Coturnix japonica: one gene and its partner. The protein of the gene in region 1 purifies or fractionates together with the protein of each later gene. This does not show direct contact. Links are inferred from orthologs where the notes say so. Each region holds a gene or a part of one and is shown on either strand. Other genes may lie near its edges.

Region 1 (4,026 bases):
CAGGGATATCCCCGAGTTTCTCAGGCTGATGAGTTAAGTGTTGGGCCGTCAGGGGAGGGTGAGGGCTCTGCATCCGGCCTTGCTTTACAGAATGAGAAATCCCCTGGTGCTTTTGGGTGCCTCCCTCAGAATGGCTCAGTGACAGCTCTTGTCCCACCAGTAAAGCTTAGAGCTGACAGCAGTAGCAGACGTGTGAGAAAGGAAGGGGACGAGGATTTGTTTGATTCTCTTACAAATCTGAAGTCTGCCCTTTCAGTTACTGGAGATCACAACATGAGGCTGGCTGCCCTTCCTGCTATTCCTGAGGCAGGCTCTGATGATGAGCTGCAGGGTGACTGCCAGGAAAACCACGGCGTTGCTGCAGATGATCAGAACATTTCAGAGTCTGTAGGTAGAAAACCTTTGCATGAGAACCAGCAGGAGAGCTCTGATAGCTCTGCTGCAGGCGGAGTAACTCTGTCTGCAGGAGGAGGAAGTGCTGTGCCCGTGCTGCCTGCAGGAGGGCACGGCCATGAAGTCAGTAAGCAGGCACCTGACTCAGGTATGACGTCTCATTCCAGTGAGCACAGTAGTTGTTTTGAGAAGCAAGTAATAGATACTGGTGTTGGGGAGCGTGCAGAGAGTGACTTCTTTGAGCCTTCTGTTTCCTCTTCCTCCCTGTCGTGTTCTTCCCAGCCCTGCTCCTCCTCTCGCTCCCTCTCCTCTGACACCCCAAGTCAGAGAGCAGAGTCTCCGAAAAAGCCAACAGCAGAGGGCTTCGCTGATAAAGCAGGAAATTCTGGCAAGAAGAAGCTTCTTCAGGCATGGGTTTCACCCTCTGAAACGTACCCTAACCAAACTCAGCAGAGTGGTGAAACCATGTCTCCTAAGCACAGGTGAGAGAACATGGGAACTGCATCGAAGGTATCTCGGTGCTGAGAGCCTTGCTTTTGATGTGAGCTTTGTCTTTTCTTGCTCTGTTACAACCAGCACCACGAATCCTGAGCAGTTAAAACACCTTTTATGGCACAAAGTCAGATCAGATAAGTTGTACTACCTGTGTGTCCCAGTGTAGCAGAAGCATTTGGTATTTTGCAAGAACCACAAGTATGCTCTCATTAAGAACTCACTCACTGGTGCACAAAAGATGGCAATAACAGCTGGTATTACTGCCCTCTCCTGTGGGCTGACCTTGCTTTTCCTTTGTGATGTTGTTCAGGATATATTTCCCTTGTTACTCCTTTATCTCCAATGCCTTAAGTCAGTAAAGGCAGTAGAAAGAATAGAGTGCACTAAGAGAAGCCTGTAGCTGAGGCAGAGATTTCTTATCTTCCCAAAGGCAAATCTTTTATCTCTGGAGTGGGAGGGAGTGCGGAGAAGGACTTTTCCCCATTTTTTTTACTGTATTTGTTTTCACTCTGAAGATGTAACGCCAGTATTGTGTGTACTGCATGAATGACATGAGCCCTTTGTAATGTTACAGACTTCATCCTGTGAAGCCAATGAATACCACAGCAAATAAATCCCAAAGCAAAGACCTGAATGTCATCAGCACTATGAATGAGAAGCTGCTTGAGATGAACATAAAGGTAGGGTGGAGAGCAGCACTTCAAACTCAACTCCTGTACTTTGCTTAGGATCATGTCTCTTGTGTATCTCACGCAGGACTGTGCTTGTGCTCAGACCATGGGGACTGTGCAGTTTTCTTTCCTCCTTTCTTGGAGGTGGGGACATTCTTTATGATTTTCTTGCAACTCATCAATTATAGCATCAGAGCCTCCTGTTTGAGCAGGGGTTTCTGAGTGGAGGGGATGGAGGGCTGCAGCCTGACTGCCTAGAGGTGAGCAGGACATCCAGAGCTGTATCTCTGAGTGACATTGCTGTGCTGCCCTGGTCCTGCTTGTGACATGCAGGATCTGCATAACTTGGATCAGCAGGAAAGATTGGGCAAATTAATCACTGTTGATATGCAAACATCATTAGTCTGCGAAGCTTCTTTTTGCCCTGAAGTAAATTTGTGGATCTTAAAGATGGGGAAAAGGTATCCTTGGCATGTCTGCTGCCTTGTAATGTGTTGCATTAATATCCTCTGCTTCCTAAGAGCATCTCTTTGCAGCTTGTATAACCACTCAGATTTATAGTGTGGGTTATTTTACTGATAATCTTGGTCTCAGGAGACCTCTAAAGCTAATCCTGTGGTGCCTCCTTCTGGTACAAGTGGAAAAGAAGAAAGTTTTATTTAAATACTATTGACTGACATGTTAAAATGTTTGTCAAGTTTAAGAGCTAAAGGCAGAGTTATCAGACAAACTGTGCTGTGTGTTTGTGGTGGTAATCTGAAGAAGACTGAAACGCCTCAGGCCTATGTGAGGGTTTGTGCTGTTTAACCTGAATTTGACCTCCCTGGCTTTCAGCACTTTGGGTCTGAGCAGTCATAAAGCTTTAATGAGCAGCATTCCAAAATGCCATTTAGATTGAATGTAGCTCTACAAAGGTGGGAAGCACGGTAATACTTCTGAGGAGCAGCTGTGTGTTGGCAGATGGAAATGTAAAGCAGTTCCTCACTGCTTGAACTCCAAACCATCTCCTAGAGAGCATTCAGTTCTTGTCTGCAGTGCCCTCGTGTGAGGTGACCTTGCTTTTCTTTTGCAGAAATACAGTCCTTCAGATCCTGCCTACGCTTATGCTCAGCTCACACACGATGAGCTGATCCAGCTGGTCCTGAAACAGAAGGATACGATCACCAAGAAGGATCTCCAGGTGCGTGAGCTTGAAGACTACATCGATAACTTGCTTGTCAGAGTCATGGAAGAAACCCCAAACATTCTTCGTGTTTCAACTTCTGGAAACAGAAAAGCTGGAAAGATGTAGGAGCTCTCTGGACATCGAACAAAGGACTGAATTCCTGCCAGTAGAGTTTGATTAATAAGGAGACAATGTGAAGTAGGTGGTACTGCTGTGCTGCCTGCAGACAATGAGCTCTTTTCTCTTTCTGGCTTGAGCAGCCATCAGTTGGAGTAGTGCTTATATCAGCTCTTGGGTATGGAGCCCAGAAGTAGAGTCATTTACCATATTTATTTTTTTGGTCTTTTTCCATTATTTGGGAAGATTTGTTCAGGCATTGAATCCAAAGTCTGATTGCGATAGGAAGGATGAAGGGTTTGTTGTTGTTTTGTGTGTTTTCCTTGCCAGCAAAGCACTGCTGGTCCTTTGTTGAAGGTTTTTCATCGTTGCTTTTTAGCAGCTTTGATAGATCAGTTACTCATCTGTCTGCATCCCAAGTTGTAGTGCAATATAAAATCACTTACAGTAGAGCTTGAGGATTTGATTGCTTTTGCTTTTATCTTTTGACAACTACACTGGAGGAGTCCAAAGCTGAATGGTTCAGCACAGAGCTGTGTGGGCTGTATTTTAAAAGCAATTAATGTCCTGAAGCAGAATGCAAGTTAAACCTCAGACTGGAAAGGAAGAAGCAAAGTGAAATTAGTGATACAACATAAGCAAAGCAGTTCTCCAAGGGGAAGGTTTACATACAGGGTTTTAATCACAGATATCATGGGATGTTTGTCTACCATAGGAATAAGGAGTAGCAATGGATTTGGGCTGATGGTACATTGTTTGGAAGCTGTTCTCCTCTGGACTTAAATTCCTGATTCAAAGGTTGTTTGAACAGGGAAGACAAAGGTACAAACATCTGGATTCTGCCCAGCACTCCTGAATTGGATTTCACTGTATGCATTCATGGCCTGGGGCTCCTGTATGAAAGTTCTGTGACAATTTTAGTGTCATTCCATTGCAGTTTATTCCATGTAAGTGCCTTGAATTTTGGAGCAGCCTTCAAGGGCGATCAGGCTTAAAACTCGTCTCTTTTTCTTATGTTCAGTGTAGAAAAGGAACCAAATTCTGCTCTCCCCCTGAGATGGGAGCAGTGAAGAGCACTCAGATCCAGCTGTGTTCTTTATGACTTGAGCTCAGAAAGGAATGAAGGTTTCACGTTGCTGGCTTTGCAAGACAATCAGACATTCCTTAATCTGTGGCTTCTTTGCA
Region 2 (4,778 bases), on another chromosome or scaffold:
TCACCTCGGAGCGAGCTGCCAGGAGAGGGAAGATTCAAGCTGTGAAAGGGAACCAGCTGTGCAGTGTAACGTCTGGGTGGCTTTCCAGCTCTGCCTGGAAGACCTAAAGGTTTCACCCTTCAGCTCCCGGTGAGCCGTCCCTACTGAAGTACAGGACCACCCGCTCCTCTCCGTTACAAATCAGTTTCCCCATCCGTGGCAGTAAAAATGAGGTTCCACGCAGCCCCACATTGATCTGCAAATGCCATCCCCGACAGAATTCATTTCATTGACTCCAAATAACTCATGCCTGAAAGCACAGATTCACCCCAGCTGTTAAAGGCAGCGTCCAGGTTAGAAGCTTTCAGAAGGAAACCATTCCACCTGCAGCGCCAGTAGAAATAAGTGGAAATATTTCTATTGCGCTGACTGTAGGACCTCATTCCAACTTCCCTCCATTGTGAGACAGGAAAAGGGCAAGCACCTCCCTGGAAGCCTGCAGTAAATATTATGGTCACATTCAAGCAGTCACAGCCGCAGGACAGGAACAGCCAAAGCCTTTAACAAGGGTTTTAAATGGTGGGGAATTGTAGGGTTTGGGCTCTTTGGTTTTTTTGTTTTGATGGAGCTCCAGTTCTGGCTCCATCTGTTACACAGGCAGCACTGAACTCTCCTAGAAAAACCTCTGGCCATTTTCTGTACCCAGAGTCAGGCTCAGAACAACACAACGAGGGAAGACAGGATGGATGGTGATGGCTGAGCCACGCTCAGGGCACTAAATCCACCGATACCATCTCAGAGCAGCACACGAGTCACCTCAGATCCAGCCAAGTGTCACAGATAAGCAGCACCTGCTCTCAAGGCCACCCTGCACAAGAGCTCAGGCTGCAGCTGCTCTTCTCTACAGCTCTGTCTCAGCAGCAGTATTCTCCAGTTACTTCTCCAGCAGCTCAACCCAAATCTTGCTGGGGAGCAGAACGTAACCCACTCTTCATCCATCAGGCTTTTTTACTCATAGAAGCAGCTTGACTACCCTTTTTTTTCCTCCTGCCCACCTCCTCTTGGTCATCTTTAACTGTAACACACCTCTGTGCTCACAGAGCTGCTCAGACCGACACCACAGCTCCTGCCTGTTTACCTCCACACTCTGCAAAACAAACCTGAAAGAGCCTTCAAGAATTCACCAGGTCAAAACTCAGCCATTTCCCCAGTAATAGGCTCTCATTCACATATAATCAAGGCACAGCAATAATAACCAGTTCTCTGGTCAGCGTCCAACAAGCAGCATACATCAGACACTTCCTGACAACCGAGCAGTACCAGAACAAAGGCTCATTCTCATTTAAGTTAAATCAGCATCTTGTCACCAAAAAACAAAAAATGCTCAGGAAATGCCCTTCTGGAGACGTGGTGGGACGTGTACATCAGGCACAGCTCCACAGAACAGTGCATGAGGGTGAGAATACAGAAATAGTTTATCCTCCCAGAATTCAGCTATTGAACCATAAAACTCAGGTAATGGGCCCACATCACTCTCAAGGAAAGAGAAAGTTCCCCATGCGTGTGGGTGGGGAAAAAGGTGCATGGGGTGGGGGTAAAACAGAGGTAAGGGGAGGCAGACTGCAGACATATAATCATTCCCAACACTCATTTCCAAAACAGTCTCAATAACTGCAAACTGTGCCCATGAAGAAGATTCACTATGTGGTAGGTCCACAGAACCCATAACAAACCATACCTGTAAGGATGTTCTTGAAGGCTTCTTCTACATTTGTGGAATCCAGAGCAGAAGTTTCAATAAAGGACAGGTTATTTTTTTCTGTAATAAATAACAAGTGGTTCAGTTAGGAACTCTATGCTCTCCATAGAACCAGGCCTCTAGGAATGAAGGACAGACACTCTGCATTGTGATATTTGACACTATATGAGGTATTTTCTCCTCTGAACATTTCCTGCTGTTTTTCAGCCTTCCCAGAGGAACTGTTTATGCTTCAGGTATCGGGCAGCTCAAGGATGCTGTTTTACAAACATGTGCTACCAACAGATTCAACAAGAAAAAACACCATCCACTATTTAACAAGCCAGCTACGAAACCTCCAATTCCCCTTTTTTTTCCCACATAATAATAAGCACAAGGCAAAAGTTAAATACTGGACAGTAGAGTGACCAGCACACTGAACTTGAGAAGCACCTGAAGGCCCCACATACCGACCTGCAAAAGCACGGGCCTCATCAGTGGGCACAGCCCTCAGGTGGCGCAGGTCGCTCTTATTGCCCACCAGCATGATGACGATGTTGTTGTCTGCGTGATCCCTCAGCTCCTTCAGCCAGCGCTCCACGTTCTCATAGGTGAGATGTTTGGCAATGTCATAGACAAGAAGGGCCCCCACAGCACCACGGTAATACCTGGGAGAACACAAAGGCACATTCCTTTAGAAAGGTCCAACAAACCCATTCAGAAAGCTGCGCTGATGCAAGTACTGCAGTTCTGTATGCTTTGTGTAATAACCATCCCCCAGAAATGAGTTCCAAATTCCAAATACTAATCAAATAGCATGATATTGTTACCTGATTACCTGGATCTACAGCAAGACCTGCCACAAGGATTCTGTCCCATCCAAATGCATTTCATTCAGTCCTTACCCGGAGATGTATCTGCCATAGTCCCAAAGAAAGACACGGTACTCACGCTGAAGTAATGGCACGGTATCTCTCCTGCCCTGCAGTATCCCAGATCTGTGCCTTTATCGTCTTCCCATCCACTTGGATGCTCCTGGTAGCAAACTCCACCCCGATGGTGCTCTTGCTCTCCAGGTTGAACTCATTGCGGGTGAAGCGGGACAGCAGGTTGCTCTTCCCCACTCCGGAGTCCCCAATCAGCACCACTGAAAGACAGGACATCATTTACCAGATGAACTCCCCACAGCAGCACTGTGCTGCCTGGCTGCTGCGCTGCTTCAGGCAGGGCCCACAGTAACAAGGGCGACGAGCTGCCCCTTGCATGCCCAGCCTTCTGTGGGATTTACTGCAGTTATTCCAGCCATCACCGTGCTCCCCACAGGAAGACATCTGATACTACAAACAAGCCAGAAAACAAAGCAGGACTTCACCCAACAGAACGAGTTCCAGTGGATTAGATGAGAAGTAGAAGACTGAAACTCTGCCTCCGCACAAGGTGTTGCCATGCTAACAGGAAAACATCAGTGCTCAGAGATTTCTAGGCCCTCCCGATCCATGCACAGCAGATTAGAGAACACCTCTCCCTGCACGCTTTCTGAATTAGCTCACCAGCATTCTCCCATGGCCACGAACTGGGCTGGTCCCTCTGTTATTTCAGCTTTGCTTTATTTTGTGCTCAGGCCATTGTTTCAGGCTCCAGCTTTGGCAGCTCCCACCCCGCTTCTCCCCACCCAGGACAGCTGGAGCCAGCTCCACGCAGTGCTCTGCCCTCCTAATGAACACACAGCTCGAGAAAGCACAGCTGCCTCTCCAGGTTGTACTCGTGTCTGTCCTCTGGCCTGTGAAGATGACCAGTTTCATGCATGAACTCTGCAAAAAGACCCTGGGTCATTAATCCATTGGCTGCAGGAAGAGAATTCAGGCGGTCCTGCTGCACTTTGCTAATTACCCCCTGTAATCCAGGTACCTTCAGTGCCTTCAGCTGCTCCATGCTCTGGCAGAGCATTTCTGAGATGTTACTGAATGCAGAAGTAATAAAGGCAGGCAACCTGATCCAAACTCAGCAACAAGTTCGTGCTCTCTCTACCTTACAATCAGCCTCTTGCTGCTCTCAATCAACTGTCAGGACTTTCTCTTTTAGCAGGGAGATCCAAAGACTGGAGACCCACGTACCTCTATGGGCACAGAGCAGGAAGATGCCTTTAAGCTTCTGGACCAAAGCAATCAGATACTGTGGAAATTCCTCAGTTTGGGAACGGGTTACTCAACAATACAGCCTGTTCAAATGCAGATGGAAAAAGAAAGCCCCAAACCAAAAGCAAGAGCCCAAATCCATACTACATCCATCAGAATACATGAAATCACACCCCTTCCACGGCCTTCGATCCCACTAATAAAGGCAAGGAACACTTGGAAATGACCCGAACCAACAAGTCAGCATCAGGTGGAGCAGTGCAGCACAAGGCACGTGCCATGTCCAGCCTACAGCCAGAATTCAGGGCTGCTCCTTCAGCCCCCCCTGCTTCCAGCTCTGCCCCGTGCCCATCAGTGCACACCACGCTGCCCATCCAACAACTGCAAAGCACTGCAGATCTGGTAACACAAGACCAGGTTTATGGTGGAATTTTAAACAGACCGGTTAATTATCTGTCAAAAGGAGTCTATTCCTTCACACAATGAAGAGGATTAAGCCTCTTCCCAGCACAGCTCATCATAAATATTCAGTACATGAGGTTGCCAGATATTGATGAACAATATGACAAACATTTGTTTCCAATAACCAAACGCCCCATCGGGCTTCAGCTCTGATTGGCGCGCTCTGATTTTCCACAAACATAAAAGAAAGCTCTTATTCTTCCCCCCATGGCCGCTTTTATCCTTTTCACCCCCACAAGGCAGGCGTACATCTGCACAATCTCAGATTCCATTTGTAATATAAACACCAATCACAGCCCATCTTCCTGGGAGGAAAATCAGCGCAGGGCTCACACCTCAATAGATGCACGGCTTCCAATAGTCGAACCGATATTCAAAGGTCAAACGTTCAATTCCAGACCCAAAGCACCCCAATCCCATCATAGAGGTCCCAGCTGCAGCCCTACCCAGGAGCTGAGCTCTGA

What was found. The genes of interacting proteins can lie anywhere in the genome.
Region 2: the proteins of RAB11FIP1 (region 1) and RAB11B purify together in Homo sapiens (affinity purification with mass spectrometry; 3 studies listed by BioGRID and IntAct, counting the BioPlex papers as one, with this or other methods). This does not show direct contact. The link is inferred for Coturnix japonica from reciprocal best matches to the Homo sapiens genes RAB11FIP1 and RAB11B.

What each region holds. Positions count from the first base shown.
Region 1 is NC_029537.1:3,593,689-3,597,714, reverse strand, and holds part of RAB11FIP1 (rab11 family-interacting protein 1), read left to right. Parts: coding exon 1-875; intron 876-1,462; coding exon 1,463-1,568; intron 1,569-2,631; coding exon 2,632-2,850; 3' UTR 2,851-4,026. UniProt on the Homo sapiens protein: A Rab11 effector protein involved in the endosomal recycling process. Also involved in controlling membrane trafficking along the phagocytic pathway and in phagocytosis. Interaction with RAB14 may function in the process of neurite formation.
Region 2 is NC_029543.1:321,930-326,707, forward strand, and holds the start of RAB11B (ras-related protein Rab-11B), read right to left. Parts: upstream 2,899-4,778; 5' UTR 2,884-2,898; coding exon 2,669-2,883; intron 2,386-2,668; coding exon 2,192-2,385; intron 1,799-2,191; coding exon 1,718-1,798; intron 1-1,717. UniProt on the Homo sapiens protein: The small GTPases Rab are key regulators of intracellular membrane trafficking, from the formation of transport vesicles to their fusion with membranes.